Diceros bicornis minor: one gene and its partners. The protein of the gene in region 1 interacts with the protein of each later gene in a pairwise test. Links are inferred from orthologs where the notes say so. Each region holds a gene or a part of one and is shown on either strand. Other genes may lie near its edges. The genes, in order: NUPR1, FUS, STX18 and RAN.

Region 1 (7,171 bases):
CACTATTTATTATGGACAACTTTCTCATCAGAGCTAGAGACATAGCTTGTTCTTTCTAATGGCCACAGAACATTTCACAGAAGGGTGCTGATCAGTCACGTATTGAAGGACACTTAGGTCGTTTCTGTTTTTCACTGCTACAAACAAGCCTGGGAGCATTTCTGTAGGAGATTCTTGTAAGTAGAACTGCAATATCAGGGAGTATGTGCATTTAACATTCTTGTCAATGTTGCCAAATCACCCATGAAAAGACTGCATGCATTTATATTCAAGGGGATGAAGTCAGACAGCCAAGAAGAACGGCAAACAGCTGCCAGGTTCGAGGGTTTCTCCGCATGGGGCTATGAGGTCATGCAGACACATCCTGTTTCACCTCATTTAGGATTCTTGAGTCCCCTTGGCATACAGCAATGTCGCCAATCCCTCCTGATTACATATCCTGCCTGGGAAGCTCCTGATCCTTTGAGCCAAAGACTTCTGCACATCCCTCAGGCTATCCAGGCTTTCCTGACTTGGATGGTTTAACTCCTGGAGTTGGGCTTGTCTTGCTGTCTTTCTCACAGTTATTCTTGTTCAGATTCACCACCTCCGGGAAGTCTGCCCTGATCCTCTGCCCAGCCCCTACACACACACACACACACACACACACACACACACACACACACACACCCCCATGCTGGGTTAGGTACCCTCCTGAGAGCTCCCCCAGCCCCTGTGTTTACTCCAGACTGACCACGCTGGCTTGTAATCGGTGTGCCTGGCAATCTCCTGGAATGTCACGAAGGTGTAGTCATAAGCAGCGAGAAAATAAACTTACTTGTGGCTGATTATACACACACCTGGAGACTAGAGACTGGGAAAACACACCTTGACTTTTCCCATTGAGTCACCTTTTGGGCCCAACAGGTCCATGCCAATGGGTTCCCAAAAGTCCCTTCTCTCTTGGCCACCCTCCCTCTGCCCACTCCTGCCCCCAAGGTCTAGGCTTTATCCTTCCAGCACCTGCACACTCAAGGCCAGGGAGACCTCCTTCCCCGGCTCCACGGACGATGGTCACGGTGTCTTCACAGTCCTCTGCGGGAGCAGGATTGGGCCCCTCAGTTCCCTAAGAGCAGAGCATCTGGAAGCTGAAAAAGCAGTGCCGATCTTAGCATAGCTTCATGTATTCAACTAGGCATTTATTGAGTGCTCACTGTGTGCCAGCCATGGGGGAAATAATAATGATAAGACACACGAGATTCCTGCCCTCATGAATAATGATAATAATAATAATAGCTAACATTTATTGAAACTTATTCTGTTCTAGGCACCGTGCTGAGCCTTTATAAGAATTGGGTTTTTTTTAATCTTTTTTTTTTTTTTTTGGTGAGGAGGATTAGCCCAGAGCTAACATCCGATGCCAACCCTCCTCTTTTTTTTTCTTTTGTCTCCCCAAAGCCCCAGTACATAGCTGTGTATCATAGCTGTAGAGTTGTAGCTCTTCTATATGGGACGCCACCTCAGCATGGCTTGACGAGCAGTGAGTAGGTCCGCACACAGGATCCAAACTGGCGAACTCCAGGCCACCGAAGAGGAATGCATGAACTTAACCGCTGCACCACCAGGCCGGCCCCAAGAATTGGTCTTTTAATCCTCACAACAATCCCACTAGGTACTATTATTAATCTCATTTTACAAATGAGGAAACTGAGGCACAGAGAGGCTAAATAGCTTGTCTCAGGGCACTCAACTAACAAGCAGTAGAACCAAGCAGTCCGGCTGCAGAGCCTCCTCCTTTAACCACTAACTAAACCAAACCAATGATGGCCTTCTAGTGGGGACAAATCATGGAGACGTGAACAAATAAAAAAGACACTTTGACTAGTGATAACTAAATGCTATAGAGAAAGTAAAATAACGTCAGGGTAAAGGGGTAAAGAATAACTGGGGGAATGTACGGTATTTTGGATAGGGATGTGCGCTCATCTGCTCATGATCTGCCTCCTGCATTGCGCAGAGCGTCCAGAGGGCGCCACTGTGTGTAGTTCTGTGTGTCCTCAGCACCCTGCCTGGTCCAAAGCAGGCACTCACTGTTTGGGAGGAAGGAAGGAGGGGACAAGGAGGCAGGGAGGGAGGGACAACTCTCTGAGAGGTGCTTCCACACACAGAGCTACCCAGCCTTTGCCAGTGTTTGCCAGCTGTGCAGACAGTACGAGCCCTGGAACCAGGGTCAGGTAGACCGTGGGAGGAATCCTTCTCACACCAGCTGTGTGATCTTGGTCGCTCTCTGAGCCTCAGTTTTCCTTCTTTGAAGAATAGGGGAAATAGTACACCACATGCTGGGCTCTGGACAAAGCCCTTTCACACATCGGGTACTGTCACCATCTTCCCTTTACAGATGAGCAGACGGAAACTCAGAAGCGAGCCCAAGATCTCGCAGCCGGTAAACGGGGGTCCTAGTGGCAGAGGTGAATGAGTCAAAGTCCGCCCCCTAGGGGGCAGCTCGGGAATTTGTGGGAGTGTTCTTGGTTGTCACAATGACAGGGAGGGGGAGCAGGACAGTGGCACACAGAATTGCCTCATGTCCTACATGACATTTGACTGTCCTGCTAAATGTTCATGAAGCTAAAAAACTTATTTACAATGAGCTGAGCCTAGAACCTACCCTCTCCCACGTCATGATAGAGGAAATTATTTTGCTACTTTTACACGTAGTGATAAAGCCCACTACTTTGCAATAACACTGTATTTCTCCACCTTAATTTGTTGTGGTGCGTTATCTTTCTTTTTTTTGTGAGATCAGCCCTGTGCTAACATCTGCCAATCCTCCTTTTTTTTTTTTTTTTGCTGAGGAAGACTGGCCCTGGGCTAACATCCGTGCCCATCTTCCTCCACTTTATATGGGACACCGCCACAGCATGGCTTGCCAAGCACTGCATCAGTGCGCACCTGGGATCAGAACCGGCAAATCCCGGGCCGCCGCAGCGGAGCGTGCTCACTTAACCGCTTGCGCCACCGGGCCGGCCCCGTGTGTTATCTTTAAGTTAAGGTGACTTTCCTCTTTCTCTTGTCATCTGGTCTGTCATTATTATCCCAGCTGTTCTTATTCGACTACCCTCCTGTCTTCACTTTCATTTACTGGGTATTAAAGAACTCACATATCACCCAAATCTGGAAAACAAAAGCTAAATTTAATTCTGGCTCAGGCTAGAGAAGAACACAAGCAGAAGTGCTGCTTCTTGTTCAACAGAAGACAAGACTGGGTTATTATAGGGTTTGGAGAAGGATGGGGTTTAGGTAACACTGAGATGGAACACGTTTCAAAAGGCTCACAGCAAAGTCGCAGTGTGAACAGAGAATTAACACTGAGCAGGTCCTGTTGTGCTGGAACCACAGAGTAAAAAAAAAAAAAGAAAAAGAAAGTGGGGCCGGCCCAGTGGCATAGTGGTTAAGTTCGTGCGCTCCGCTTCGGCAGCCCAGGTTCGCAGGTTCGAATCCCAGGCGCAGCCCGATGTACTGCTCAACAGGCCATGCTGTGGTGGCATCCCACGTACAAAATGGAGGAAGATGGGCACAGGCGTTAGCTCAGGGACAATCTTCCTCACCAAAAAAAAGAATAAGAAAGTGAACTATTGTGTCTGCCTCCTTCCCTGATCTGGACAGCCGGGGCCGGGGGCTGGTGCACGACAAGCTGAGCTCAAGCAGGAGTGGGCACCCGAGGGTGTGGCCTCTCTGGGTCAGATCCTTAGGCAAGAGTGGAAAATTCTACTTTCACATGTTTCTTATCTGAACCCCTCCCTTTAATTCATATTAAATAGGTACAAACACCTATTCACTTCATAATGTTTTCTACCTCAGTCTATCCATGTTTTGAAATACATTTTATTTCATTATAAATTAATTTCCTTCTATGTCTCCTTTCCATTACAGTGAGGGTGTTATATGGAGTTGTTTGGAAACTGTGTGACTAACTCTTACATAGTGCAACTTATGCTGGGCCAGGCACGATTACCTCATTTGATCCTCTCACCGGCCCTATGAGGTAGATACAATTTTATCATCCTCGTTTTTACAGAGGAGAAAACTGAGGCTCAGCGGTGGAAGGTGACTTGCCTAGGATCACACAGGCAGTAGTGGATCAGGGGTTTGAACCCAGGGCATCTGGCTCCAGCATCTGCACTCGTAACCACTCTGCTAGCCTCTCTCTCAGGTGAGGAAATTACCTAGGGACCCAGTTCAGGATATTAAGGGGGCTTTCCAGATGTTTCTTATAAAAGAGGGGGTTGGGTGTCCCAGGGGTGAGAACCACTGACAGAGCACATAGAGTGTTGATATCCTCTCCCTCTCCCTTTTCACTCCGTATTCTGCCACCATGGTCCTGAATCTGAGCCACAATTGGGGTGGGGGTGGGGGTCAGCTGTGTGGCCATGAGCCCAAGCCCAGGAGGGGCACGTTGCAGAGGGCAGGAGACAGACAGCAAGGAGTTGGCCAAGTGAGGCCCTCAGTTCCCTGCTGGCCCTGATCTTCAGAACTGTTTATGCCCAGACCCTGCCTCTCCTCCTCCCCGCTGAGGGGCGGGGATCTCCTCTGTGGAAAAATACCCAGCTGGGCGAGCCCCGGTGAGAGGAGGAGGGAAGGGGGGCTGGGACTCACGGGACGACTCTTTTTCCCTCTCGTGACTGGTGTTTACTGGGCCGGGTTCTGGGAAAGGGCCTGATTGCATCAGACAGGGCCTGAGGGGCTGGAGCCAGACTGTGGGCTGAGGAGGAGACGTGGCCTTATAAGTTGGGGCCAGTGAACTGGGAGGTGTCAGGAAACCAGACACAAACAAAGCTTTAGAAGACGAGAGACAGACAGCAAGAGTAAGCCAGACATGATGGCCACCTTCCCGAAAGCAGCCAGCCCATCCCGGCAGCCCCCAGACCCGGAGGACGAAGACCCCAGCTTGGATGAGTACGACCTCTACAGCCTGGCTCATTCTTACCTGCGTAAGGCCTGGCCTGCCACCTTCCTGGTTCTTCTACTCTGATCCCCATCCCCCACAAACAGCCTGACGCCCCCACCCCCAAACGAGGTCCCCTCCTTGGGCTTCTCCCCACCCTTCACCCTTATCCAGCCAACCTGTTCCTTTATCCCTCGCATCACCCCCTGCTAACCCCTCCTCCACTGAGTGCTGTCCTATTCAGCCTGGGGCCTCATACACTTCTAGAATACTGGAGCAACAACAGCTCATTCCAGCGGCCCCTTCTTCCACAGATGGGGAACAGGGGTTACGGCTGCCCCCAAAGCTATGGTGACAACCCCCCAGTCTCCCTACTCCAGCCCAAGCTCTTTCCCCCCAAGTCCCAACCCCCTGCCTCTCCTTTGAGGCATCATGCCTCTGCCCACCTCACCTTGGCCTCTTGCCTCGGTTCCCAGGAGTGGGAGGCCGGAAAGGTCGCACCAAGAGAGAAGCTGCTGCCCACACCAACCGCCCCAGCCCTGGTGGGCATGAGAGGAAGCTGGTGACCAAGCTCCAGAATACCGAGCGAAAAAAGCGAGGGGCACGGCCCTGAGACAGAGCTGGAGGTAGGGAGTCGGGGGTCCCAAAGCAACAGCAGAGGTCCCTGTGCCTTGAAAGGGACAAGCTTGAATGTGCTGGTTGGGTGGGGAGAAGGGGTCAAGGGACTGTTGTTTCCACATAGAGTAAAATGAAACATACATTCGACTCTGAGTTTGTTAGTGACCAGAGCAAAGGGGAAACATAGACCCTTTCCAATTAGAGGGAAATTTGGTTTACAGAGAGGAAAACTGAGGCCCAGATAGGGTAGGCTCCTTCTCTGGAGTCACACAGCAAGTGAGCGGGAGAGGCAGAGTCAGAACCCAGGCCTCTACGCCTTTGGTCACCTGCTTTCCTTCCCCCAGATGAGGCCAGAGCACGGACACCACAGCAATGGAGAAAGGACTTCGGAAGAATCAGCACCTGGGGGCCGGATCCAGGCCTGCTTGCCCTCCGCCCCACCCCCAGGACTTACCCCACCTGACTGAGGCTCCAAGGGGCCACCAAGGAAGCGCCCCCAGCCCCAGAAAAAGGACAAGATGGGGAGCAAGAGGCAGGGGATAGAGAGGCAGAGTCATGAAGGTACCCCCAAAAAGAAAGACGCTGAAGACCCGGGAGCTCCCTAGGGTGGCAGCGACAATAAACAAAATTCAGCAGCTGCAGCCTGTGTGTGGTTTTTGTCCTCTCTCTCTGTTTCTGCCCGCATGTGTCTGCATTTGCATGAGCCAGTGAGAGCATTTCTTGTTAGTGTTTGTGTTTGGTTATGTGTCTGGGAGGGGCGGTTCCTGATTTTGTAGGGCACCTAGAGGTGAGCATGCATTTTTTTTTGGTATGCGTGTGTTTTGGTGCATACATTTCTGTGGTCTCTTTTGGGGTGCAGCGGGATTTCCTCTGTTTCTTTGTAATGCTGCCCATGAAAAAAGCCCCCTCCCCAGCTCCTCTCCATTTTCGGAAGAACAATCTTGTTGACGATGTCGTATTCATATAACATTGCCTTTTGAAGTGAATGTTATTTCTTGGCGCCACCTGCAAAATGGAGAAAACTGAGATTTAACACATTAAGGGACTTGGCTCAAGTTACCCAGGGCTCAACTTCAAGGATTCTTAGAGTGCTCAAGTGTGAGGGGGGTCCCTTTGCCCGGGGAGCTGCCCGAACAGGATTATGGGAGGTCAGCGAGAGGAGGAAGTTCTTACTTAGTGTTATCAGTCTTGGGATCACAGTTGGAGAAGAACATGGGGCAAAAAAGAGATGTGATTGAAGCTAAGAAGATATATTGATTGAGATACAGATTTGGCTGCTGTAATGAAGAGCCAAACAAAACAGGATGGAAAGTTCTCTCTGTGTCACATAACAGCTCCAAGGGTAACTACTCCTGGGCTAAAAGCAACTCCGTTGTGTCAGGGATTCCAGCTCCTTCTGGATCATTGTTCTGCCACTCTCAAAACATGGCTTCTACTTTGAGGTCCAATCTAGCTGCTCTGGTACCTGCCATCACATCTGCATCTCAGCCTGTGGAAAGAGAGCGGGCAAGGGACCAGGGGAGGCCACACCAATTTATTTCTAAGGCCACAACCTAAAAGTAGAACACATCACATCTGCTCAGAATTTAGTCACACGGCCACACCCAACCACACGAGAGGTTGGGAAATGTA
Region 2 (8,507 bases), about 1.1 Mb from region 1:
ATTAATAACAGAAGTTGGATAGTCTTTATATCTGTACATTTAGATCCACTTCATTTTTCAAATCTCATGGTATATCCGTATTACAGTGGTTCTCAATCTGGGATGATTTGGGCCCCCCTACTCCCGCCAGGGACATTTGGCAATGCCTGGAGACAATTTGGTTATCACGACTGGGGGTTATTGCTAACATCTAATGGGTAGAGGCCAGGAATGCTGCTAAATATCCTAGAATACACAGGACATTCCCTCAAAATAAAGAATTAACTGGCCCAGGGGCTGGCCCGGTGGTGTAGTGGTTAAGTTCGCATGCTCTGCTTTGGTGGCCTGGAGTTCACAGGTTCAGATCCCAGGCACAGACCTACACACCACTTATCAAGCCATGCTGTGCCAGGCGTCCCACATATAAAATAGAGGAAGATGGGCACAGATGTTAGCTCAGGGCCAATCTTCCTCAGGAAAAAGAGGATTAGCAATGGATGTTAGCTCAGGGCTAATCTTCCTCACCAAAAAAAAAAAAAAAAAGGAATTAACTGGCCCCAAATGCCAAAAGTGCTGAGATTGAGAAACCTTGCTGTATAATAATTAAGTCAACCAGACCCTCTCTTGATGGGCACTTAGGCAGTTTCTAATGTTTTGATATATAGGCAGTGCTGCAATGGCAATGATCCACTTTAGATAGTTTAAGCAGAAAGGGATTATGATAGGTGGTTACCAAATTTCTGAGATGGTCAAGAGTCAAGCTTGGATGCTTCCCAGCCAGTAATACATACCAGGCCAAGGGTCCAACAACACCTTGGTACTTTCTTTCTTTCTTTGTTTTTTTGTGATGAAGACCAGCCTGGAGCCAACATCCATGCCAATCCTCCTCTTTTTGCTGAGGAAGACTGGCTCTGAGCTAACATCTATTGCCAATCCTCCTCCTTTTTTTCCCCGAAGCCCCAGTAGACAGCTGCATGTCACAGTTGCACATCCCTCCAGCTGCTGTATGTGGGATGCAGCCCCAGCATGGCCGGACAAGCAGTGCGTCGGCGCGCGCCCGGGTTCGGTAGCGGAGCGCGCGCACTTAACCACCAAGCCATGGGGCGGGCCCTTGGTACTTTTCTAATGGAAATTCCAGTGCTGTTGCCTCAGTCCATTGATGTTAATGATACTAAGGATGTTATAACCTCCACCAAAGTTACCCATGAAGAACCAAAGGCTTGGGCTGCTATGCTGGCCAGAACATGTGAATTTTCCACCAATAGTTGCTGCCTCCAATCTCATGTAATGCATCTGCTTGACAAAATTGGGCTGGAGATGATCCAGAGACAGGCCTGGAACTCAGGAGGGTCATGGCTGGGTGTACGCATCCAGGAGCTGAAGGCATGATGTGGATGAGATTAGACTGTCTAGAGTCTTTAACCTGGAGTCCCCACTAGGGGTCTGAGGATAGCAGTCAGGGGGTCACAGATTTGGACAGGGAAACATTACATGGCAATTTTCACTAACTGCCAATTGACATCTAGCATTTTTCTCAATATGATGACTGTAGGCAATAAATCACAACAGTTTCTGGGTCTTGGTCACTGACAGAAATCTTAGAAATTGTACCACATTGCACTTGTTGTAGGTACCTGAAAACATTTTTTTATTCCACTCTACTTCAAAATTAAGATAGCTATGGAAAAAAGGAAAAAAAAAACTATTAGAAAACAGAAAAAAATTAAGATAGTTATTACACTATCAGATCTGTGTACTGGATCACAAAGATCTTTTTAAGAAATAGTTGATAACTATTTCCATTGGATTTCTTTGTATTCTTACAAAGTTTGTTTTATGCATTTACAAATATTATTCTAAGAAGGGGTCCACATTATCATTAAACTCTGATACAAAAAGAGGTTAAGGATCCATGATCTGGGAACAGATCACAAATCTGAATGCCTTCAAGGGCCAGCTGGAGGCCTGAAAACCAGGGCCTGCTTTGTTTTCCTACATTTGAAGACAAGAAATATTTTCTCTTGCTTTTAACTCGAAGAAAAACTGCATTCAACTCCTGATATAAATGACAATCGACACTCTCCCACTAGAGAAACATTAGGGAGTGAGGGAGACTGTGGCAAGCTGCAAGCACATGCCCCAGCAGCCTCCTGCTCCAGCTGACCCCTGCCCTCTGGAAAAGTAGGCCCAGGGTGGCCAGAGCCTCTAATTTTCAAGAAAAGCCAGAAGTTTGGATTTTTCCCCTATATTTAGTATTGGCAACTAGTTAATTAAAAACAACGTGCTGGCTACACAAAACCTGTCTGCAGGCTGCATCTTACACCAGGTCATAGTTGGGGCTTTGGGTCTTGAGGGAGAAGCGAAGAAGGCTGAAGACAGAACTCTGGAGGGCCCTGCTGTCTGTAGGGTGAGCAGAGGAGGACACTGCAGGGGAAGGAGACAGAGGGACAGTGGGAAAGGTGCGAGGGCTGGGAGCAGGGATGTCAAGTAAGGAGACTTTTAAGGTGAAGTGAGAGGTCCCTGTGTGATGTGACTCAGGAGAGGTCCACTGAGAGAGATAAGCCTGGAGAAACGGTCACTTGATGAGGTCACAGTATAAACCTGTCACTCCCTGCACTCTGCCCATGAGTGCCTTTCCCTACCCCTGCCTTTGTCTTTGCCATTCCTTCCACCTGTTACACCTTCCCTCTCTCACCACTTGGTGAACTATTACTTATCCTGCAAGGGCTGCTTCAGTGTCACCATCTCTCCTTCCTCTTCTGTGGTTGTCTACTTAATGGATGACTTGCTCTCCTCACAGAGTTCCCAGATTCCTTGATTCCATGTCACAGCACTCACCACATTTGATTCAAACATACTTTGGGGTCCGTGTGTCTCACTCACATCTCATCCACTGGCTATAAGGTCCTGCGGTTCAGGGACTGGATCTTTTTTATCCTCCTCTCTCTACGTCTGCCCCATGCTTGGCACACACTATGCAGTGCTCAAGCAATGTTTGCTGAAGCACAGGGGTCAAGAGCAGGAACTCTGAGCCAGGCTGCCTGGGTTGGGACTCTGGCTTTGCTGCTTTCTGTGTAGCCCTGGGGATAGCTTATGATCTTTCTGTGCCTATTGTAAGTTATGATCAAAGACTCAGAACACTGCTTTATACTTAGTAAGCCTTATCAAAGTGTTAAGCTATTATAAATGTGTTATATATAACATATAAATATCATTATTAAGTGTTAGTTTTGGGGGCCGGCCCGGTGGCGCAGTGGTTAAGTGCACGTGATCTGCTTTGGCGGCCCGGGGTTCCCAGGTTCGGATTCCGGGCATGCACCGACGCACTGCTTGTCAAACCATGCTGTGGCGGCGTCCCATATAAAGTAGACGAAGATGGGCACGAATGTTGGCCCAGGGCCAGTCTTCCTCAGCACAAAAAGAGGAGGATTGGCATCGGATGTTAGCTCAGGGGTAATCTTCCTCACACACACACACAAAAAGTTAGCTTTGTTATTAAGTTCCTTCAGATGTCTGTTTTGCACACTAATGCATCCTCAGTGCCCAGAACAGTGCCTGGTACACTACAGGTGCTTAATAAATATTTGTAGAATGAATGAATGAAGGAATGATGGACTTCCCTTTGCCCTCACTCCACAGTCACACTGCCCTCCCAATGAGGGTGGGGCGAGTGACAGGGTATTCAAGGGCCATCAGGGGTTTAGTAGAAGTTTGTGGGCAGGCCTAGGGCCTAGACCTTAATTGTTTCTCTAGGAAAACATGTCAAACCTACAAAGGAACTACTGGAACCGAGGTCAAAGTTAAGTTGGGAAAGAAAATCTGCATGGCATGTGTACCAGGAATAACCTCCTTTGTCTTGTTTTATTCAATACTCTCAAATTGCCTTCTCCAGGCAAGGCTGATTAGACTGCAAGTTGCAAGTTAATTTGAACTCCACTTTTTGTCCTCGCTCTCACAGGGAGTGAACAGGCTTCAGAACACTGCCAGGTGTTCATATAACCAACAAAAGGAGTGTTTTGCAGCCACACAGACCTGGATTCGAATCAGATCTGACCCTCAGCTGCTCTATAATCATGGGTTGCACTTGGCCTCTCTGAGTCTCACTTCTCTTATCTATAAAAGAGATACATTTCCTTTCCTTAAAAGATTGTGATGGGAAAGCAATTAATTATGCATTTTGAAACCACTTAAGCCATATGCAAATAGTTATTACTGGATCTCCATATTGGTTCCTTGGTAGTGCTTTAGAACAATAAAAAGTAGCTCCTTATCTGTAAAAGGCTAGGAGACCCCTAACCTAATCTCAACGCTCTCTGAGGTCCAGAGGGCCTGGGCTTTCCCCTTCCATCGCCAGTCAGGGTCAAAGTCACGAGGGTTTGGGAGGGCGATCAGTGCTGGGCCAGACGAGGATCCAGGGATCTGGGCTAAACTCCATGCTTTCTTTCAGGTCAGACGTCACGATTTACAAACCCTGGTATGGACTAAGGAAATGAGACCCTGAAAGACTATGAAGTGAAAACCAAGGCCCAGGGAGAGAGAGAGAGAGAGAGGGTCGGTGTGTGTTGTCGGGGGAGGAACTTTAGAGCCAGAAAGGGAGCTTGGCGGCCGGAAGGACGACACGTCCTGTGTACTGCGAGGGCAACGGAGCGCAGGATCTCGCCATCCGGAGTGAAAGTGGGGCCCAGTGAAAGGGTCCAGCCAGAGGAATTTCGGTTCCCGCCTGGCGCCTCCCAGCTTTGACTACAGTTGGGTCCGCAGACGCCCTGGGCCCCTCGCCCCGCCCCCAGAGGGTAATGAGACCGTACCATTATGCCTTTATAGGGGTAGAGGTGAATAGCAGGCTAGTCCTGCAGAGTGAATCCCAGTTCTTTATCAGAGAAAACATGATTTTATATATTATTTTCATGATTCTCAGTTAATATGTTTCCCTTCTGCCTGCTCAGACCCTGTATACTCCCTGAAGAGTGGTAGGACTCCAGCCATGCTTCCCCCTTTTCCTAGCCGCACTTGGTGCATTCCTCCGCGGTACGTAGGCGGGAGGCGTACATAAACCTCGACGCAGGAGGCGGGGCTGGTCAGTCCTCGAGGCGTCGGTGCTCCGTGGTGTTGGAATCTTGTTGCTTGTTGGCCTGTGCGCGCGTGCGCGGACATGGCCTCAAACGGTATGTAAAGGCACGAGGCGGCGGTGGCGCGCCGGCCCGGGGCCTCGTTCTCTCCCAGCTGGGCTTTTGTTTTTCGGTGGGACCCGGGCAGTGATCGCGTGTAGGGTCTTCTCGCACCACGGTGGCGGGAAGCAACAGAGAGGGGTGGAAAGGGGAGGCTGATGTCGCCATTTTGTTTCGCTCCTCCGGCGCCTTGCGCGGGGCAGGAGGTCTTGCCTTCGCAGTGCCTTTACTGGAGGTGAGGGTCGAGAGGGACGCTTCTGGGTGATTTGATACGTGAGACACGGACGGAAATGCTCCGTCCCCGTAGCCGTTTTTTCCCTTCGGTCCTAGCCCGGCGTTCGGGCCCGCTTTGTCGCAGTGCTGCATCCGGGCACTCGGTGCGCGCACGCGCTCTGCTGGCCCCTCCCCCCTTTCTCGCGGCCCGAACTCCCTCCCGCCTCGTGTTGGCGCTGCTTTTTGTCGCGAGACCCTCCGCTGGCGACTCTGCGCTGCGCGTCCGGTGTGGGCCTCGCCCGCCGGGGTCCCTCGGGAAGGGGCGGGACCGCCGGGTTCCCGCCTCGGTTGCCACGCGGCCGCGGGCGGAGGCTCGGGATCGGGGCCGCGCGCCCGCTTAACGGCTGTGGGGGCGTCTAACGGGGTTGGGGACTCGGCCCGAGGATTTTCCCGCCTAAATTTCCTCTTTCTGAGGTGGGAACCGAAAGAACGGCTGCCCGAGGCCACACCCTCTCCCGGTCCTCTGGCCCTTTCCTGCGGGGGAAGCGCCTGGTTTCCTGTACTCAGGGGATGCGTTGATCTGGTTAGTGCGTCCTCAGTGTGGCGTTTTAAAAGCACTCCCGCTGCATTTGGTTTGCTGTCTCCTCACAGCTCCGAGGAAGGCAGGGTAGATGAGGAGAGGGGATTGGAGCCGCAGGGCTGAGGACTCGAGGACCAGTTAACTGCTGCCTCCTGGGGCGAGCACTTTGATGATTTGTCATTTGTGGTCCGAGGGCTCTTTTCTCTTGGTTACCTGGCTTTGCACTGAAAGCCCACTTTGCCGCTTTTCAAGATTAGGCAGAGGGTGAAGAAGTTTGAGACATTCTGTTCTTTGGGTCTCGATTGCGAGAGTGGAGGCCACATTTCGAACACTGCTGCCTCCAGCTTGAGTTAAAACCTGTCCCACTTAAGTAGCTCTGGGACTTTAGCTTGATTCTTGGTGATACTTTCTTCATAGAGTGGGTGTGAAACTGAAATGTGTGTGAATTTGTGCCATTCCTGACATCAGTTGAGTTTGCAGAAAATTGTAGATGTCCACCAAGATTCTTGTTTTTTTCCAGTAGTAGTTAAGGCCTCTTGGTGTCTGCAGAAATTTGCTTTTTCTTTGACTCTTTTTCAGAGTCAAGTACGAAAACTTGACTCTGATCTGCCAGCTTGCCCCTCCTCTCAACTAGTGTTTCAGGAGAGAATTTCTGCCCTTCTTGCAACATGGTCTTGTTGGTTGATTTCTTACCTGGAGGCCCCAGGGCTTAAATTGAGGAATTTTGCCCTATTGTTTTTTCAGGGATGGCTGAAGGTAATGTAATTGTATTATTGTTGCTTTCTTTTTTTGAAAAAAATAATTGTATTTTTCTTTTTGCAGATTATACCCAACAAGCAACCCAAAGGTGAGAGTCATTTCTGGGCTTTCGGGGTTTGTAGAGGTCAAGGGTGGCTAGGGTATCTTTTCCTAATTACACTGTTTCTGTTTCTTCAGCTATGGGGCCTACCCCACCCAGCCTGGGCAAGGCTACTCCCAGCAGAGCAGTCAGCCCTATGGACAGCAGAGTTACAGTGGTTACGGTCAGTCAGCAGACACTTCAGGCTATGGCCAGAGCAGCTATGGTTCTTCTTATGGACAGACCCAGAACAGTGAGTCTCTTTTAGTGGGTCACCCCCCCCCTTCCTTCTCCTCCTGAATGTTGCTTTTCTTAAACCTGAGCAATGCTGAAATGTTGGAACTGTCCTGTGTTTCTTTTCCCTTAACTGGTCTGTAACTCTTAAAACTCTTTGGAGTCTGAGTCCTTTCAAACAAAAATGCATACTGGTTTGTAATTCTCTTTATTTTCTTGAGTCCTTATTTTTCTTTTAATGCTGCCCTTTTCCCCATTTCCCTTTAGCGTGAAAGTGAAACGTGGGGGAGAGTATTCCCTAAGGGGAGAAAGTTTTAGATTTTTGGTGCTTACAGGGAGAAAATGATTTGCTTGAAGATGTTTGAAGTCACACTACCAAATATCATGTGATACACAAGGAGGTGGAATTTGCCCTGAGGTCTTGCAGTGTAAATAATGTGGGTTCTATGTGTACTGCACACATCTGAGCAGGTTAAAATGCTGTTAATGAGTAGGGATCTTTTGGGCTGTGATTAGTCGTGCGTGGTCCTGGAGACTCGCTTTGGGGTGGGTATGGTGAGATCGGAAGTCCAAAGTTGATAGAAGTTGGAACATTAGCCTTAGGTAGAAGAGAAGGGTAACTTTATGAATTGCAAGATTCTAAGCAGCTTCTGAGAGGCGAACTTTTCAAGTATGGGTAGCATTAGATAGTAAATAATATTTTCTTCAACCCATTCCCTGCCTTTTCTCTTTCTACATAGCTTTTGTGGTTTCCTTTCTCTTTTCCTTATAGCAGGCTATGGAACTCAGTCAGCTCCCCAAGGATATGGCTCAGCTGGTGGCTATGGTAGTAGCCAGAGTTCTCAGTCGTCTTACGGGCAGCAGTCCTCCTACCCTGGCTATGGCCAGCAACCGGCTCCTAGCAGCACCTCGGGAAGGTAAGGAGTTGTGGGGAGAGGCCTGAAAGATTAAGGGTGAATTGATAAGGAATGATAATGTGACCAGCAATAGGAGCAATCATGAGGAGTAATGGGGAGGGGGGTGGTCTTTCTTGGGTACAGACAATGGGACGTACCAAAAGCGAAAGGAAGTTTTGGACATGCTGTCGTTATGATTCTTTTTCCTTTTCTTTAGTTACGGCAGCAGTTCCCAGAGCAGCAGCTATGGGCAGCCCCAGAGTGGTGGCTATGGCCAGCAGTCTGGCTATGGTGGACAGCAGCCAAGCTATGGACAGCAGCCAAGCTCCTATAATCCCCCTCAGGGCTATGGACAGCAGAACCAGTACAACAGTGGCAGTGGAGGTGGCGGAGGGGGTGGTGGAGGTGAGAAGGTGTCTTCAGTTTCGTCTCTTTTCTGTAAGGATTTATATTCCATAGCTTGGACCTTACCGTAAAAGGTTTCTTAAAAATCTTGCTTTCTTGTTCCATAGCCGTTTTCTTATTTCTGTTGTTTTTTATCCTTTGGCACTGTTGAACTGTTGTATGCCAGTTCACAAGGCTTTTTTCTCTTTTTAAAGCAC
Region 3 (7,475 bases), on another chromosome or scaffold:
GTGGCAGTGGAGGGACAAAGGCGGCACCTGGAAGGATGGGGCCTCGACAACCTTCTGTGTTTGCCTCTTGCCTTTCCCCGCTTCTTCTGCACATCCGTTTCAAAACTAAGCTCCTAGGAGAAATCCACTCTGATTTTTTAAATATTTATTTTATTGTGGTAAGAATACAACACGAGATCTACTCTCTTAACACATTTTTAAGCGTACAATACAGTATTTTATCTATAGGCATGATGTTGGGCAGCAGATCTCTAGAACTTATTCACCTTGTATAACTGAAACTTTACACCTGCTAATCAGCAACTCCCCATTTCTCCCTCCCCCCAGCCCCTGGCAACCACTATTCTAGTCTCTCCTATGAGTTTGACTATTTTAGAAACTTCATATAGGTGGAATCCTGCAGTATATGTCCTTCTGTGAATGGCTTCTTTCACTTAGCGTAATGTCCTCAAGGTTCATCCATCTCGTTGCATAGTGGATTTCCTTTTTTAAAGGCTGAATAATATTCCATTGTACGTATATACCACATTTTTTTGATCCGTTCATCCATCAGTGGACATTGAGGTTGCTTCCATGTCTGGGCTATTGTGAATAATGCTGCTATGACGGTGGAAGTGCGGCTATCTCTTTGAGATCCTGATTTCAACTCTTTTGGATAAATACCCAGAAGTGGGGTTGCTGGATCATATGGTAGTTCTATTTTTAATTTTCTGAGGAATTTCCATACTGTTTTCCATAGTGACTGCACCATTCTGCATTCCCAACAACAGTTTACAAGGGTTCCAATTTCTCCATCACCCTGATTTCTTTAGCTAGTTTCCTTCTTAGGAGCAAAAGTTGATTCTTTGAGCTTCCTGTCCCTAGAGTCACGGTCCTTTTTAGAGCCCCTGAGAAAAAAAATTTTTTTGATGAATTTCTTTCAGGCCACTTCCTACAGTGAAAGTACATGTTCTCCAAGTCCTCCCCTCTTGCACCGTGAATTCTGCCATGGCATGGCCAGGCTTGCAGGGTTTCTATTATTCTAACACTCCCAACCAGGTCTTTTCTATTGGTTAGATCTAGGTGTAATCTAACTGTTCCTTCCTCTCCATCCTTTACCTACTGAGAGATGACACTGTAGTGATGGTAAGTGAAGAATGCACCCAAAAGTCTTGTTTTGGCAGATATCTGGATATGCGTTGTATCAATCAGGATATGCTAATTACGTTGCAGTAACAAACAACCACAAGTCTCCATGGACCACAAGAGCAAAGGTTCATCTCTCACTGCCAGCACACGTCCTTAGTTGGCTGTGCTCCACGTCATCTTTACTCAGGGACCCAGGCTGGTAGCACATTGGAACATTATGGGTTGCTATGGCAGAGGGAAAAGAGAGCATGGTGAACCACATGTTAGCTCTTAAATTTGCTGCCCCGAACCAACACACATTACTTTTCTCAGCTAAAAGGAATCACCTAGCCAAGTTAGTCATCTATAGGTCAACGAACTATAATCCTCCCCCAAGGAGGGGCCATGAGTACCAGTGAACGATAAAACAGACTATCACAGAGGGTCTCTAGTTACTGTATTATTGTGGCAAATCTATGATTCCATGGACCCAGAAAACTGTGGTCTCCCCATTCTGCCCTGCAAGAATTCACATTTCCAGGCACTGGACACCCTCCATGCAGCAAATACCTGCTTACGCCAACTTTCGCCAGTTGGTACGGCTATAAAACCAACCCCTCTAAAGGATGCCACAATGACAAAGTCTGACGACAGCAGAAGTCTATTTCTCACAGCACATGTCTGTCATGGGTTGGTCATCTGGATGTGCAGCATACCCTCTTTTTGATGGAGGCTGCATTTAATGACTTCTGTGAGAGTCCCCAAATAATTCTGAGCTGCCTACATTTATCTTGATTGTATGGAAGGTGCGGTTATAGGGAGCTATATTCAGGAATTCCAACATGCATTACTGTTTTTCAAGAGAAGAGCGCCTGGCCTAATGAATGAAACATTATTACCAATGAAACATAATTTCTGTACTACATCAAACTTGGTAGTTTGTAGTATACTCCCGTGACACTTCTGTTCTTGCTTTTCATCCACATCCCCTCTCAGCTTTATGGGATTTCAAATAGTTACTAGTCCAGTGTCAACTTGTTGCTTTGCTCTTTGAGGTTAAAAGAGAGAGAGAAAAACAGTGAAATCTCATACCCCACGATCTATGGGAAGTCCAATGGCCTCCTCAAGATCTTTGTGACTCTTCTAGGACTTTTATGTACGTGCGGTCACTTGTGCCTTTACAGCTTGATGTTTTGAGTTTACTTGGGTCTCATCTCCACAATCTTCTCTGCTTTTACAGATCCAGACAGAAAACTTACACTTTTTTCCCCAACCTTTTACACAAAAAAACTAACCGCACCAAACGCACTACCCACACAAGGCATTACTCACTGAAGGTTTGGTGTAGCTCAGCCACCCCCTCAAAACTCTTCCCAAAGAACTACTCTCTCCTTTCTTGAACCCCCTCCCTGGGCTCTGGTTTCCCCCTCCTCCCCCTAATTCAATCCTGTTCACTTTATTATGCAGAGCAATTTAACTCTCTTTCCTTCAACTCTGCCCCAGGCTTACCTATGCATAGCTAAAGACCCATTAATGTCTCCATAAAACAAAGGACCATTTATGCGAGACAGAATCCTGGGCAGAGATTTTCTAATTTCTTTTTCGTTTTCTCCCTCTTACTCTGTAGGCAGAAGAAAGCTGTATGGAAATTTATTTTCCTCATACAGGAAGGCTGAAGTGGCTACAGCTGGGTTTTAAATAACATTTTTCTCTCTTCTTTTCAGGTACATGTGTACTTTCTTGACATCTATTTCTGATAAACTTATTTCTTGAACACAGTGGGTCTCAAATTTTGGTCTCAGAACTCCTTTATACTCAAAAGTTATTAAGGGCCCTAAACAACTTCGGTTTATATGGTTTTATGTATCAATATTTACCATATTACAAATTAAAACAAAAATTTAAAATACTCATTCCTTTAAAAACAAAAATAAATCCATTACATAGTAACATAAATGGTATCTTTCTGTGAAAAAATACATTTCCAAAACAAAACAATTTAGTGAGAGCTGCATTGTTTTACGTTTTTGCAAATCTCTTTAAAGTCTGGCTTAATAGAAGACAGCCATTCTGCATTCAGTGTTTTGCAATGTGACAAGGCACACAGCCTCTGGGACACTCAACTGTACACAACTCCTGAGAGAGAGAGTGAAAAGGCAAGTAACATTTTAGGATTATGAAGAGTTTCTATCTTGCCGACCACGCTTTGACAACCACTGTTTTAATACATATTCCAGCGGTGCACCCACTATCAAAAAAACAAACGATGAAATCAATGAGATCTTGAATTAAATCTGAACCTTGAACCAAAACGTACAAAGGACTCACTGGCTACCCTGCAGTCAACTTAAATAACTACCACTTAAGATGGTATATTTAAAAACTATACATCAAGGATGAACAGAAATTCCGCCATTGTCTCCATCTGATAAATTCCTGGTCAGCCTTCAAATCTGCCTTCTCTAGAGTGAGTCTTCTCTATGGAACCCTTCCCCACCATAATTACGAGGACAACAATGTTATTAACAACAGGTATCTAACTTTTATTGGTCACCAGGAGCCAAGCAAAGCCAAAACACTTCACGCGTGTTATCTCATTTAACTCTCAATAATTCTCAGGAAGGTACCGGCTTCGGGGGGCTGAAAGGTGAAAATGAAAGGCCTCCGGTCTCCAGCTCTGTGCCATGCACACCTGCTTGTCCTAGCACGCATTGCATCTAGATGTCACGGTCCACGAACTCCGTCCCGCACAAGGTGCGTCCTTGAGGTCAAAGGTCATGCTGAGTCGCCTCCGGCCACCCGCGGCCGGCTCGCTCCGTGCGGGAGTCTCGAGAAGGGGTCAGCTTCCTGGTCCTCTCGCTCCCGCGGCCCACACGCCCTACACCGGCCCGCGGGGGCGGGGGGTTCGTGGACCTGCCCGCGCGGCCAAGCCCGCAGAGGTGGGGGGTTGGGGGAGAAGGGGCGCGGCTGTGCGCGCCGCGAGGTCCGGGCGCCGCGGGGGTCCGCCACGCGCGTGCGCTGAGGCCGGAACCTTTCTGCTCTGGCCGCGGTAGCCCGGCGGAGGCCGGAACCTTTCTTCTCGCGTCGCGGTTGGCGTGCGGAGGCGTGCGGAGCCGGAACGGTCCGCCGGGGGCCGGGCTCGCGCCGCGGTCGCCGGCTGCTGACGTAGGCCGGCCGGGTCGGGGCCCGTGAGTGCGGGTCGTCATGGCGGTGGACATCACTCTGCTGTTCCGGGCCAGCGTCAAGACCGTGAAGACGCGAAACAAAGCGCTGGGAGTGGCGGTGGGCGGCGGGGCTGACGGCAGCCGCGACGAGCTGTTCCGCCGGAGCCCGCGGCCCAAGGGCGACTTCTCCAGCCGGGCGCGCGAAGTGGTGAGCGGGTTGCTATGGAGACGGCGGGCCGGAGCGGGGGGCGGCCGGACCCCGTCCCGTGCGCGTTGTGTGAAGGCCGCCTGGACTGAAGCGGGGCCCGGAGAGCTGGTCCGGGGGGCCGACAGCTGTCCCGGAAAGGGCGCAGCCTTGTCTCGGGGACTGGGGACGCGCGGTGGGGAGCGCGGAAGTGTGTGGGCAGAGCTCACGCGCTGCTGCGGAGCTGCTGAGCTCGCCGTCGCTGCAGACCTGAACGCCAGCGAAACGCCCCCGCGTTCCTCTGCTTTCCTGTCGCGGCCCTGACCGCGGCGTACTTGCCTCTCCTGTTTACTGGTCTCGGCCCTCTCCCCTTCCCCCGCGTGGAGATCACATGTTGTGTCCAGCTGACCTCTCCCGTCCCCTCGCCTCCTGCAGCAGGTTAGGGCTCATGTTGGGGATCAGTGCGTCTTGAGACTGGTTAAGGATAATCTTTCACAAACACTCCATGTTAGCGTCATCTAAACTACTTCTGTGCCTTGAACACAGCAGGCTTTCGTTCAGGGGAGCAGGAACCTTTTCCTTAAGGGCAGAAACAGTGTTGGCTTCACGTCAGAAGCCCCAGTGCCCGACTCCGACTCATGGCGTTGCTTAGTAAATGTTTGTTGAATGAATGAATGAACAAATGGTTGTCTGTCTTCCCCACTAAACGGGAAACTCTGTAAAGGGAGAGAGAAAATGTTTGCCTCGTTCACTTTTGTATCCTTGGCACCAAGGGTGGATCTAGTTTTTGTGGAGCTTGAAGCTTATGCAGTTCTGCCTGTCCTCTTTAAGAAATGAAAATACAGAATCACAAAGGTTTAGAGCTTTGGGAGGTGTAAACCCTGAAGCTTAAACTTCATTAATTTCGTGGTAAATCCCCTTAAGTTTGGCACACAGTCCAGAGCCTGATACTTTGTAGACACTGAGATATTTTTTAATGAGTGTATGTATGCGTGAATTAACAAGTGGCAGTTTGCAGAGGATATTCAAGCATCAGAAGGGGGACTGGGCCAGATGAATACATTCAGTCCATCAATAAGCATCTGTTAAGCAAGCACCTATTTTTTGACCAGCACTGTGTTAGAATAACATGATTTAAAGGGAATGGTGGGGGAGACCGAGTAACAAAACAAGCACCATACAGCCTTGTAGATGCTGTGTAGGCACAGAGGAGAATGTGGCCAATTCTGCTGGAGGGCCGAGAGAGGCGATAATGTCTGAAACAAATCTCTAAAGAGGAGTAGTTGGTTCCAGTGCAGACAGGGTGGAGAAGGGCGCCTCGGGCTAAGAGAAGAGTATGCACACAAAGATGTGGAAATAGGTCATTTTCATGCTCAATTTAGCTGAATTTATATATACTCAATGTGTGTCTACCCATTAAAGTACCAACAAATTAGACAGTAATGACATTGCAGATTTTTTTGGAGGAACTTGTTATGTGAGCTACTCCAAATGAGGATGAATGTGCCGCTTCGCAGTGTTAATGAATTGGTTGGATAAGCATTTGAGTGTGGCTGATTTGGGGGACACTCAGGAAAACTGGACTGGAGTGGTAGGCAGGGGAAATCTTGAAGGGCCTTGTTTATCACAGTGTGGAGTTTGGACTTTGCCCTGGAGGCAGTCAGATGTTATGTGGTAGAGAGAGCGCTAGAGAAGGGGTGAAGACACCAGGTTGTTGTCTTAACCCTGCGATGATTAGCCATGATCTTATGAAGCAGGTTTTATGGCCTTAGTTTATTTACCCGGCAATAGTCTCCTCCTTTTTTTCCCCCTTAAAAAGCAGAAGACTTTTAAAAAAAACTGCTATGATCTCCGATATATAGCAGATCAAGGTTCTCAGGTTGAAATGAGAGGGAGGGAAACTGGGACTTCTCTGTGCGCCTCCCTCGAGTCTGGCCCAGGCTGTTCCTGAGGTTCCTCCTTTGGAATTGTGGTATGAAGATCACAGTTTTGGTTTTTGGAGGGCCTTTTCTAACCCTGAAATCACTGATTTATTAACACTGTGCTAATTTTGGGTCCTGCTCAGGGATAGGGGCTCTGGGAGTGGCCGAGACGAGAAGCATCGTTGGATTGGCCAGCAGTGAGGAGAGAGCCCTGTGATCACTTAGGCCCCAGGCCTCTCCCTGAGTAGTGAGATGGTACTTTAGGCCTTTGGGTTAATAGGCCTCAGGGACAGTAACAGGACCCTGGGGTGCTGAGTTCCCTGTCACTGGAGGTAATTAAACAGCGGGATGACTGCTCGTCAGAGATGTTTGAGAATAACTCTGTGCTTTTGTCAGAGGGTTAGATGCATGTCACTGAAAGTTCCAGTTCTGGTATTTATTGATGTGGGTAGGTGTTAAGGCTTGGGGAGTCTATTAAGTAGGGACATGGGCTGTGTTGTTCAGGGCCACTGCCCTTCCTGACATAGGGAACACATGCCTTCTTTTGAGGAATTTTGATTTTATGTTGCAATTGCTTTATGTAGTACCTCCTGTTCTTGCAACCATTTCTCTCTCTCATGGAAAGTGTAACTAGTATAGAGCTAGTGAGGGGTGTCCTTTGCTCTTAACCACAGTCAGATGTGTCAGAAGTCTGGCTGTTGTTTTGTTTGGCCTGAATTCCTTATACATAAAAGTCTGGTCATACTAGGAACACATATTCTGGTTCAAGTTGAGCCCTGGTTGTCAGACTTAAGGAAATGTAGCAAGTTATAGTAATGCCTTTTCTTGAATGCCTTCCTTGAAGCATTTATTATCATTTCTAAGATACGTATTACCTAGTTCAATTCCAGTTCTTCTCATTCCTCATTTTTGACAAAACATACTCCTGATGTCAGATTTCCATCTCACTGAGTTGTTGTAGAGGTTATGTTAAGTTTAATACAACTGTGTTGAAACTAGATCTTTTATTTGTCCCACAGGGTGGTTTCTTCTGCATCATTTCTTTAAATATTTAACTTTTATGCTTGATTTTGCTGAATTTATATATACTCAATGCAT
Region 4 (7,696 bases), on another chromosome or scaffold:
ATTAAGCACATGTTCTGCTTAGCTATATAATAAAGTGGCAAACACGCTGCACCACTGACATCACAGGACAGTTGCCTATAAAACTAGACTTCTGACGCTGGGCTCCAGCTTCATTTTCTCACAGGTCATCGTCCTCATCCGGGAGAGCAGTTGTTTGAGCAACCTGGAAAAAGAGATGAAAAAATTTTAACACTCTAGATTAAAGCCACTAGGAATGTGATATGCCAAATCCCACAGCACCCACTGAGACTGAAACATCATACCTCTAGATCATGCTCGTACTGTGCTGCCAAAGCTGGGTCCATGACAACCTCTGGTGGGGCAAGAGCAGGCATGGCGACAAACTCCAAGTTAGGGTCTCCAATGAGTTTTCTAGCAAGCCAGAGGAAGGGCTTTTCAAAGTTGTAGTTACTTTTGGCAGAAATGTCATAGTACTGTTTAAAAAAGAAGTAAAATTAATTTTAAAAACTCCATTACTCAAACAATGATCATCCTGGGGGACACTGCAAGCTAAAAGATAAAATTACTTCAATCCACATATCACAGACGTTTATCAACCACTTTAATGGACCCATATATAATTTTATCTAAGGGCCCTAATCCAGTAAATGGAAGCTGTAAGAAACATACCTGAAGATTCTTCTTTCGGTGGAAGACAATAGATTTTGCCTTAACTTTCCTGTCCTTAATGTCCACTTTGTTGCCACACAACACAATGGGGATGTTTTCACATACTCGTACCAGATCTCGATGCCAGTTAGGCACATTCTTGTAAGTAACTCTCGATGTTACATCAAACATTATAATGGCACACTGGGCTGAAGGAAAAATTTACAGAAATTAGTACACACCTAGCAACTACATGGATGAGAAATGCTAAGAACTATGGACTAGCACTCAGTCTCAGACTTAACTCTAGGTCATCCAGAGTTGCCTAATCAATTTCAAAGTCTCTTCCAATTCTAAAAATCTTAAATCACTGTAACACACAATACCGTTTATATGAAAGCATGAAAAACCAATTTACCTTATCAAATCTCTCTCCCTATAGTCCTTCATCACTAATTCTACCTAATCCCAAAAAAGTACCTAAAGTAGATTAATGATAAATCAACATTCCAGAGAACTCACCTCCCATATTCTGAGGGTCTAGAAATCTATGCTTTACAATGTCCTTAAACGGCTGAATACACCATAACATGCCTCTATTTAAGAATACTCAAGTAGGTCACTATGTTGACCTGTAGGAATAGGCACCTCTCAAAGCTAATGAAAAAACCAAGAGTATGCACAGTATAATACAGTTTAAGTAAAGAATTTTTGGGGGAAAAATCCCTGTATTTGTACATACTCAAGGAAAAGCAAATAGCATGGAAGGATTCCCAACAACTTTTCAGCGAGAGTAAGATTCCAGGTAATGAGTATTTTCTTTATTCATCTTTTCATTTGGCACAACAGTAAGCATTTTTCTTTGCAATTTTTAAATCAAGCATTCGGAAAAAAAATTCTGCAAAACTCAGCACAATTAAAAAGAAAACAGCTGGTCTTTTACAACATTTGTAAGCTAGAGAACCTAGCTCTTCTGGTCCAGTATCTGGTCAAACTGTTTACTATCTTCTCAATAGAATGGAGAAGAAATCATCATTGATGACCACCAAAACATACACCCAGAAATAAGTTTTCAAATGAGGCTGAAGCTGCAGCAACTGCTTGTCTGTTGCTTACTACTGTTTTTAAATTATGAGCCTCAATATAAAATCAAGTAGTTTTTTCAAAACAGTGCCTATTATGACACAGCATGCAACCAAACGGCACAAGACAACTTCCATAAAATTTTTTCCCCCTCCAATGATGGTCAGCTCCCTGGAGGCAATGACTTTTTAATCAACCTAAATTACACAACTCCTGGTACGGTCCGGATTAAGCATGTGTTCACTGGAACAGATCTGATCATCACTGAACACCCTAGGGGACCAAACTACAATTTCTCAAAAAGTGTTCAAGTTACAGACGAGACACGCACCTTGAATGTAATAGCCATCTCTCAGTCCACCGAATTTCTCCTGGCCCGCTGTGTCCCACACGTTGAACTTGATGGGCCCTCTGTTGGTGTGGAACACGAGGGGATGGACCTCGACGCCCAAGGTGGCTGAAACACACACCCCACATCAGTCCGGGAATTCGTCCGTTTCACCCCACTTTCGCCGACGGTTTTCCCCCACGTACCTACATACTTCTTCTCGAATTCCCCCGTCAGATGGCGTTTCACGAACGTAGTTTTCCCAGTGCCACCGTCCCCAACCAATACGAGCTGTTGGACAACACGTTTTTGAAATAAACCCCAGACCCGTAACATCTCAGGACCCCGGAGTCACGCAGCCGCGAGGCTTGCCGGACGCCCACCTCCACCGGGGGGACAGAACCTCAACACCCCGTCAGGTCCCCCCACACAAAGGACCCCGACCGAGCGGCCCCGCCATCGCTTCGGCGACTTCGGCCGCCGGAACGTGCGCCCGCGGCCACGCGGGGCCCGGCCCCGAGAGCCCCCGCGCGCCCCGCCGCGCCCCGCCGCGCCGGCCCACGCGGACACCTACTTTGAACTGGACCTGCGGCTCTCCCTGGGCGGCCATCGCGATGTTCCTGCGGAGAGAGAGCGGGGCCCGCGGGGGCCGGGACACATGGCCGGCCGCCCCACGTGCCGGCCCACAAAGGCGGCCCCCGGCCCGACCCCGCGCGGGCGGCGGGCGGGGCGCGGCGCCATGGCGGCCGGGCGGCGGCTCCCGCGGCCCATTCACCGGGCCGGCGGGGAGGCCGCGCGGGGGAGGCCCGGAGGCCGGGCCCCGAAAGCGCCTGGTCACGGCCGGCCCGCCCGGCCCCCCTCCGTCCGCGCCCGGCCCGCCGCCCCGCCGCCCGCCCGCCCGGCCCGCGCTCGGGTCCGGCCCGGCCCGCGGCCTCCACGGGGAAGAGGGCCCGCCGCCCCGGGCCCGGCCCCGCCGCCTCCCGCGGCCGCCGGCGCCCTCGCCCCGGCCCCGGCCCCGGCCCGCGGCCCCGGCCCCCGCCCCGGCCCGGCCTCCCCTCCGCTACCTTCCAGAAGCGTCTCCGGGCCCGTCTGACTGAGGGCTGGAAAGATGGCGGAAGCGCAATTCAAATGCCCGGAGACGCAGCCGACGCCGGCGCGCGCCGAGGGAGGGCGGGGCAACGGCGCGGCGCCTCTCCCACGTGGCCTGGCGCGCGCGCGCACGCACGCCGCGGCTCCGCCGGCCGCACTCGTCGGCCGGGGGCGCAGGGAGAGGCTCGCGGCGCGGCGGGAGCGGGAGGCCGTGCGGGCGCGCGCACGCCCGCCTGCCCGCGGGGCCACGTGCGCCGGCCGGGAGGCCGGGTTCCCGCGCGCGCATGCGCCGACGGCGACGCGGCGCGCCCTGCTGCCGCCCGGGTAACAGAAGCGGGAGGGGAGGGCCGCGGCCTGTTGGGCGGGAAACTCGCGGGGAGCGGCCACACAAAGCCCCGGTCGTGCCCGGCGGCCTCCTGCACAAGCACGGGCACAGCGGGCCCCGGGGGCGCCATGTTGGGGGCGCAGGCCCCTTCCCTGCCCCCTCCCCAGCCCCCGGCCTCAATCAGGACCCTCCGAGGGGAAGGGAAGCAGAGACCGATGCTTTCTCCCCCCGAAAAGCCAGCCCCCTGTCTCCTACGGCGTGTGATCGGTCAGCAGCCTCCGCGACCGTATTCTGCAGACAGGATGCTGAAATGTGGTGTTCGCAACCGTGGCGGGTCTTCTCCTGTTACAGACATGGGTGCAGTCATGAGTGTCCAGGTTCCAGACTCGGGAGGGGATAGGCCGCCAGGAGCCCGGACGAGCGCCGTGCGCGCACGCTCCTGGAGACACCCCCTCACGGGGTCAGCGTGGGCGGAAAAGGAGGACCCGCAAGCTCACGAGTATTGGTTATCGTCATCCGTTCATTCGCTTTTAGCAAAGATGTGGGCCGAATGGAGTCCTCGCACCTCGTATCCTAAATCTGAGGCCAGTGTTTGGCGTTTATATGGACAACCACAGATTCTTTAACTGACGTCTGGGTCCCCCCGGCCAAGCAAGCATCCATGACTGGCAGCAAGAGCAGGCAGCGAATGGCCCCATCAGAATAAAGTTCCTCACAAAAAGATTCCACCACGGGGACTGTTCCCAGAGCAAAGAACCCAAATGACCAAGGAGTTAGCCACGGAGTCCTGAGTGCACTTGCAAGCAGGTCTGTTGGGAACTCCAGTGACGCAAACTGGGCACAACACATCTGAGAATGTGCCTGCTGGGAACTCAAGTCCGAGTGCCCCGAAGGACCCTCAGGAAAACACCAAGCAGATCTCGATGCTGCTGGTGGGAGTGTAAATTGGTTCGGCCTCTTGAGAGAGAGAAACTAATAAAACATAAATGTCCATAGCTCACGACCCTGAATTGCCCTGTATTTCCATTTCTCGGGAGATGCCGTAGCGTTAAACTCACACATGTGCATAAGGAGACAGGTTCACAATGCTCACTGTGACATTATTTACAGTAACAAAAAGTGGAACTTACGTAAACGTCCATCAATAGGGAAATGTATAAATATGCTGTGTTTATACGATGGATTACTGTACAGCATTTAAAAAGAATGAAGTTCAGCTATGTCAACAGAGTTAGATAGATCTCAAAAGGATAATGTGGAGAAAAGAAGCAAGTTCAAGAAATATGTGGTAATACCTTTATATAGTCTACACTATATATAATTTATAGAGATTATATGTAGTATAAGACCACTTATGTAAGTTTTTTACAAACACACATAAAACCATATTAGTTCTTGGATGTATGTATGTAAATTTTTAAAAGTTGACTACAGGGATATAGACTAAATTCTGCTGGCTGTTGCTTTGAGAGAGGAGAAAGGAGTGTGATGAAATTGGGAAAAGCAGTCAAAGAAGTCTTGATCTGCAGTGTCCTCTTTCTTTTTTTAAAAAGGTAATCGTATAATTCTGGGTGATGAAAACACCAGTGTTTAGACCTTTTGGCATTTAAAAAAAATTTCTAACCACAAAAAAAGCCAAGGGGCAGTATGTCAAACCAAGAGTATTAGCTGCTCTCGCACCCATCCTTCTAAAAGGAGCTCCTGGGCCGGCCCAGTGGCTTAGCGGTTGAGTGCTCGCGTTCCGCTACTGGCGGCCCGAGTTCAGATCCTGGGCGCGCACCGACGCACCGCTTCTCCAGCCATGCTGAGGCCGAGTCCCACATACAGCAACTAGAAGGATGTGCAACTATGACATACAACTATCTACTGGGGCTTCCGGGAAAAAAAATGGGGAGGATTGGCAATAGATGTTAGCTCAGAGCCGGTCTTCCTCAGCAAAAAGAGGAGGATTAGCATGGACGTTAGCTCAGGGCTGATCTTCCTCACAAAAAAGAAAAAAAAGGAGCTCCTGGGTGGTCTGTTCTTGGCTGCTAATGTCATTAACTGGCCCAATCCCAGAACTTCTAAACATCATCATCTTATGGAGAGTGAAAAGGGGGAAAATATACTCAAGCCAGCAGAAATAATGCTTTTCCTCAATAGAACTGTCCAAGCTCGTCCATTTGTTAATGGCTTTGCAGTTTACAGAGGTACTTAACTTGTCTCGGCCACCCAACACAGATTGCAAACCCATGCTTAACCTGTAGTTTAAAAAATTACAGCTATATACACAAAGAAATATGAGAATTACAAAAAAGTTGCAAAAGTAGTACAAGGAATTTCAGCACCCTTTACTTCTAGTTTCCTCAAATGTTAACATTAATCATTCTTGATCATTCTCTCCTCTCAATAAAAACATCGTATATATATGATTTTAAAAATATGTCAATATATATGTGATTTTTTTCCTCTGAGATGTTTGAGTAAGAAGCAAACAGCACGCCCCTCAGTGTGTATTTCTTAAAACCAAGGACATTCTGTTACGTAACCACTGTACAATTACCAAAGTCAGGAAATGAACATTGTTGCAATTGTTATCTTATCTACAGAACTTAATTGCCAATTGTCTCACGCCTGTCCTTTATCTGCTGCAGGATCCATCTAGGATTACACATTACATTTAGCTGTCCTGTCTCTTTACTGTCTTTCAATGTGGAATGCTACATTCATCTTAGGCTTTCATATCCTTGACATTTTTGCAGAGTATTTTGTGGGCCAGTTATTTGTAGAATGGCCCTCCATTTGGATTTCTCTGATATTTCCTTAGGATTAGAGTCAGGTTATGCAGCGTGGGTTGGGATACCACAGAAATGACGTATGTCCTTCTCAGTGCATCTTATCAGGAGGCACAGAGCGATCTTCTTAAAACATATCAGACCAACCTTCTCCCCTCTTAAACCCTGCAACGGTTATCTATCTATCTCACTTGGATACATGAAATCCTCAGCCGGCCAGGTCCTATATGAGCTAGCTTGTGCCTACCTCTCCTGCCCCACCTCGGGCCTCTTTCCCAGTAACTCTTCTGTGGCCACACAAGCCTTTCTGAATCTTACCTTGGCCAAGTTTGTTCCCAAATCAGGGCCTTTGCACTTACTGGTCCCTCTGCCTAAAACGTTCTTTCTCCACATCTTTGCCTGAGTGGCTCCTTTTCATTCTTCAGGTCACAGCTGAATGTCACCTCCTCAGGAAGGCCCACTCAGACCACACCCCTTCTAACGTGTTATCACCACTCCAGCCCTTCCTCATCTCAGCAACCATTTTATTTTCTCCAAAGCACTTACCACTAACTGAAAATATCTTGCTTAATTATTTACACGCTTCCTTTTTTTATCTCTCTGTCCCTCATTAGAATAAACTAAGCACCTTATTTATCATGATATTTGAGGTATCGAGCACAGTGCCTCGGCCATAATGGGAGCTCAGTAAAGATTTGTTGAATTATTGAGTGAATTGCTCTTCACCCCATCTGAATACAGAAAGAATAATCAGAAACAGCAGCGATATATTCTAATAAAAATAATGATTTACATATACCAGCTTATTAGAATTTTAATAATGCTATTTCATATCAAAGACTAATCATTAAGCAAATAACTTAAACATTTACCAAATATAGGGCCAAGCTTTTCTATTTGTATGGTTTCCATCAACTTTGTTGACTTTGCAAACCAATAAGGAAGCTAATCTTAAAGATTTCATTATCTAATTCATTCATCAGTCCAGCTGACGCATGTCAGTAACTTACCAAATGAGATCTTTTCTTTATCCGACACTCAATGTTCCATATAGGGAGCACATCGATGCACAGAGTACATGCTACTTCTTAGCGTTAGCACAGAAGTTATCGTCTTAAAAGCAAATGGAGAGACTTGTCATATAGTCACACCATATAGTCACTCATCTCTTTCATCTAAAGATAAGGACAGTGCAGAGGGTGCACCTTCGTGGCCCATGAACTAAATCCAACCTTCAAAGGTGTTCTTTGTCCTGCACTGAGGTGGTTCACAAGTGCTTTATATCTGAACTAGCGTTTTAAAATGGGATGGTTTTAAAAGAGTCCACATTTGATACTGCTCTCTCTGAAAGTTGAGCCTCATCCTCCTCTCCTTGAGTGTGAGCTGGACTTAGTGACTCACTTCTAACAAAGGGAATATGTCAGAATGGACAGTGTGACTGCTGAAACTAAGTCACAGAGGCTCTGTGGCCTCCTTCTCGCTCTCTTG

Evidence for each region.
Region 2: the proteins of NUPR1 (region 1) and FUS interact in a two-hybrid assay, tested with the Homo sapiens proteins (2 studies listed by BioGRID and IntAct). The link is inferred for Diceros bicornis minor from reciprocal best matches to the Homo sapiens genes NUPR1 and FUS.
Region 3: the proteins of NUPR1 (region 1) and STX18 interact in a two-hybrid assay, tested with the Homo sapiens proteins (2 studies listed by BioGRID and IntAct). The link is inferred for Diceros bicornis minor from reciprocal best matches to the Homo sapiens genes NUPR1 and STX18.
Region 4: the proteins of NUPR1 (region 1) and RAN interact in a two-hybrid assay, tested with the Homo sapiens proteins (2 studies listed by BioGRID and IntAct). The link is inferred for Diceros bicornis minor from reciprocal best matches to the Homo sapiens genes NUPR1 and RAN.

What each region holds. Positions count from the first base shown.
Region 1 is NC_080765.1:22,008,781-22,015,951, forward strand, and holds NUPR1 (nuclear protein 1), read left to right. Parts: upstream 1-4,051; 5' UTR 4,052-4,852; coding exon 4,853-4,967; intron 4,968-5,397; coding exon 5,398-5,534; 3' UTR 5,535-5,547; intron 5,548-5,883; 3' UTR 5,884-6,309; downstream 6,310-7,171. UniProt on the Homo sapiens protein: Transcription regulator that converts stress signals into a program of gene expression that empowers cells with resistance to the stress induced by a change in their microenvironment.
Region 2 is NC_080765.1:20,887,672-20,896,178, reverse strand, and holds the start of FUS (RNA-binding protein FUS), read left to right. Parts: upstream 1-5,061; 5' UTR 5,062-5,128; coding exon 5,129-5,141; intron 5,142-6,759; coding exon 6,760-6,784; intron 6,785-6,873; coding exon 6,874-7,028; intron 7,029-7,781; coding exon 7,782-7,926; intron 7,927-8,122; coding exon 8,123-8,343; intron 8,344-8,507. UniProt on the Homo sapiens protein: DNA/RNA-binding protein that plays a role in various cellular processes such as transcription regulation, RNA splicing, RNA transport, DNA repair and damage response. Binds to ssRNA containing the consensus sequence 5'-AGGUAA-3'.
Region 3 is NC_080747.1:6,965,866-6,973,340, forward strand, and holds the start of STX18 (syntaxin-18), read left to right. Parts: upstream 1-4,268; 5' UTR 4,269-4,311; coding exon 4,312-4,479; intron 4,480-7,475. UniProt on the Homo sapiens protein: Syntaxin that may be involved in targeting and fusion of Golgi-derived retrograde transport vesicles with the ER.
Region 4 is NC_080774.1:2,098,402-2,106,097, forward strand, and holds the start of RAN (GTP-binding nuclear protein Ran), read right to left. Parts: upstream 3,174-7,696; 5' UTR 3,085-3,173; intron 2,641-3,084; 5' UTR 2,631-2,640; coding exon 2,595-2,630; intron 2,312-2,594; coding exon 2,227-2,311; intron 2,150-2,226; coding exon 2,024-2,149; intron 819-2,023; coding exon 631-818; intron 435-630; coding exon 264-434; intron 164-263; coding exon 119-163; 3' UTR 1-118. UniProt on the Homo sapiens protein: GTPase involved in nucleocytoplasmic transport, participating both to the import and the export from the nucleus of proteins and RNAs. Switches between a cytoplasmic GDP- and a nuclear GTP-bound state by nucleotide exchange and GTP hydrolysis.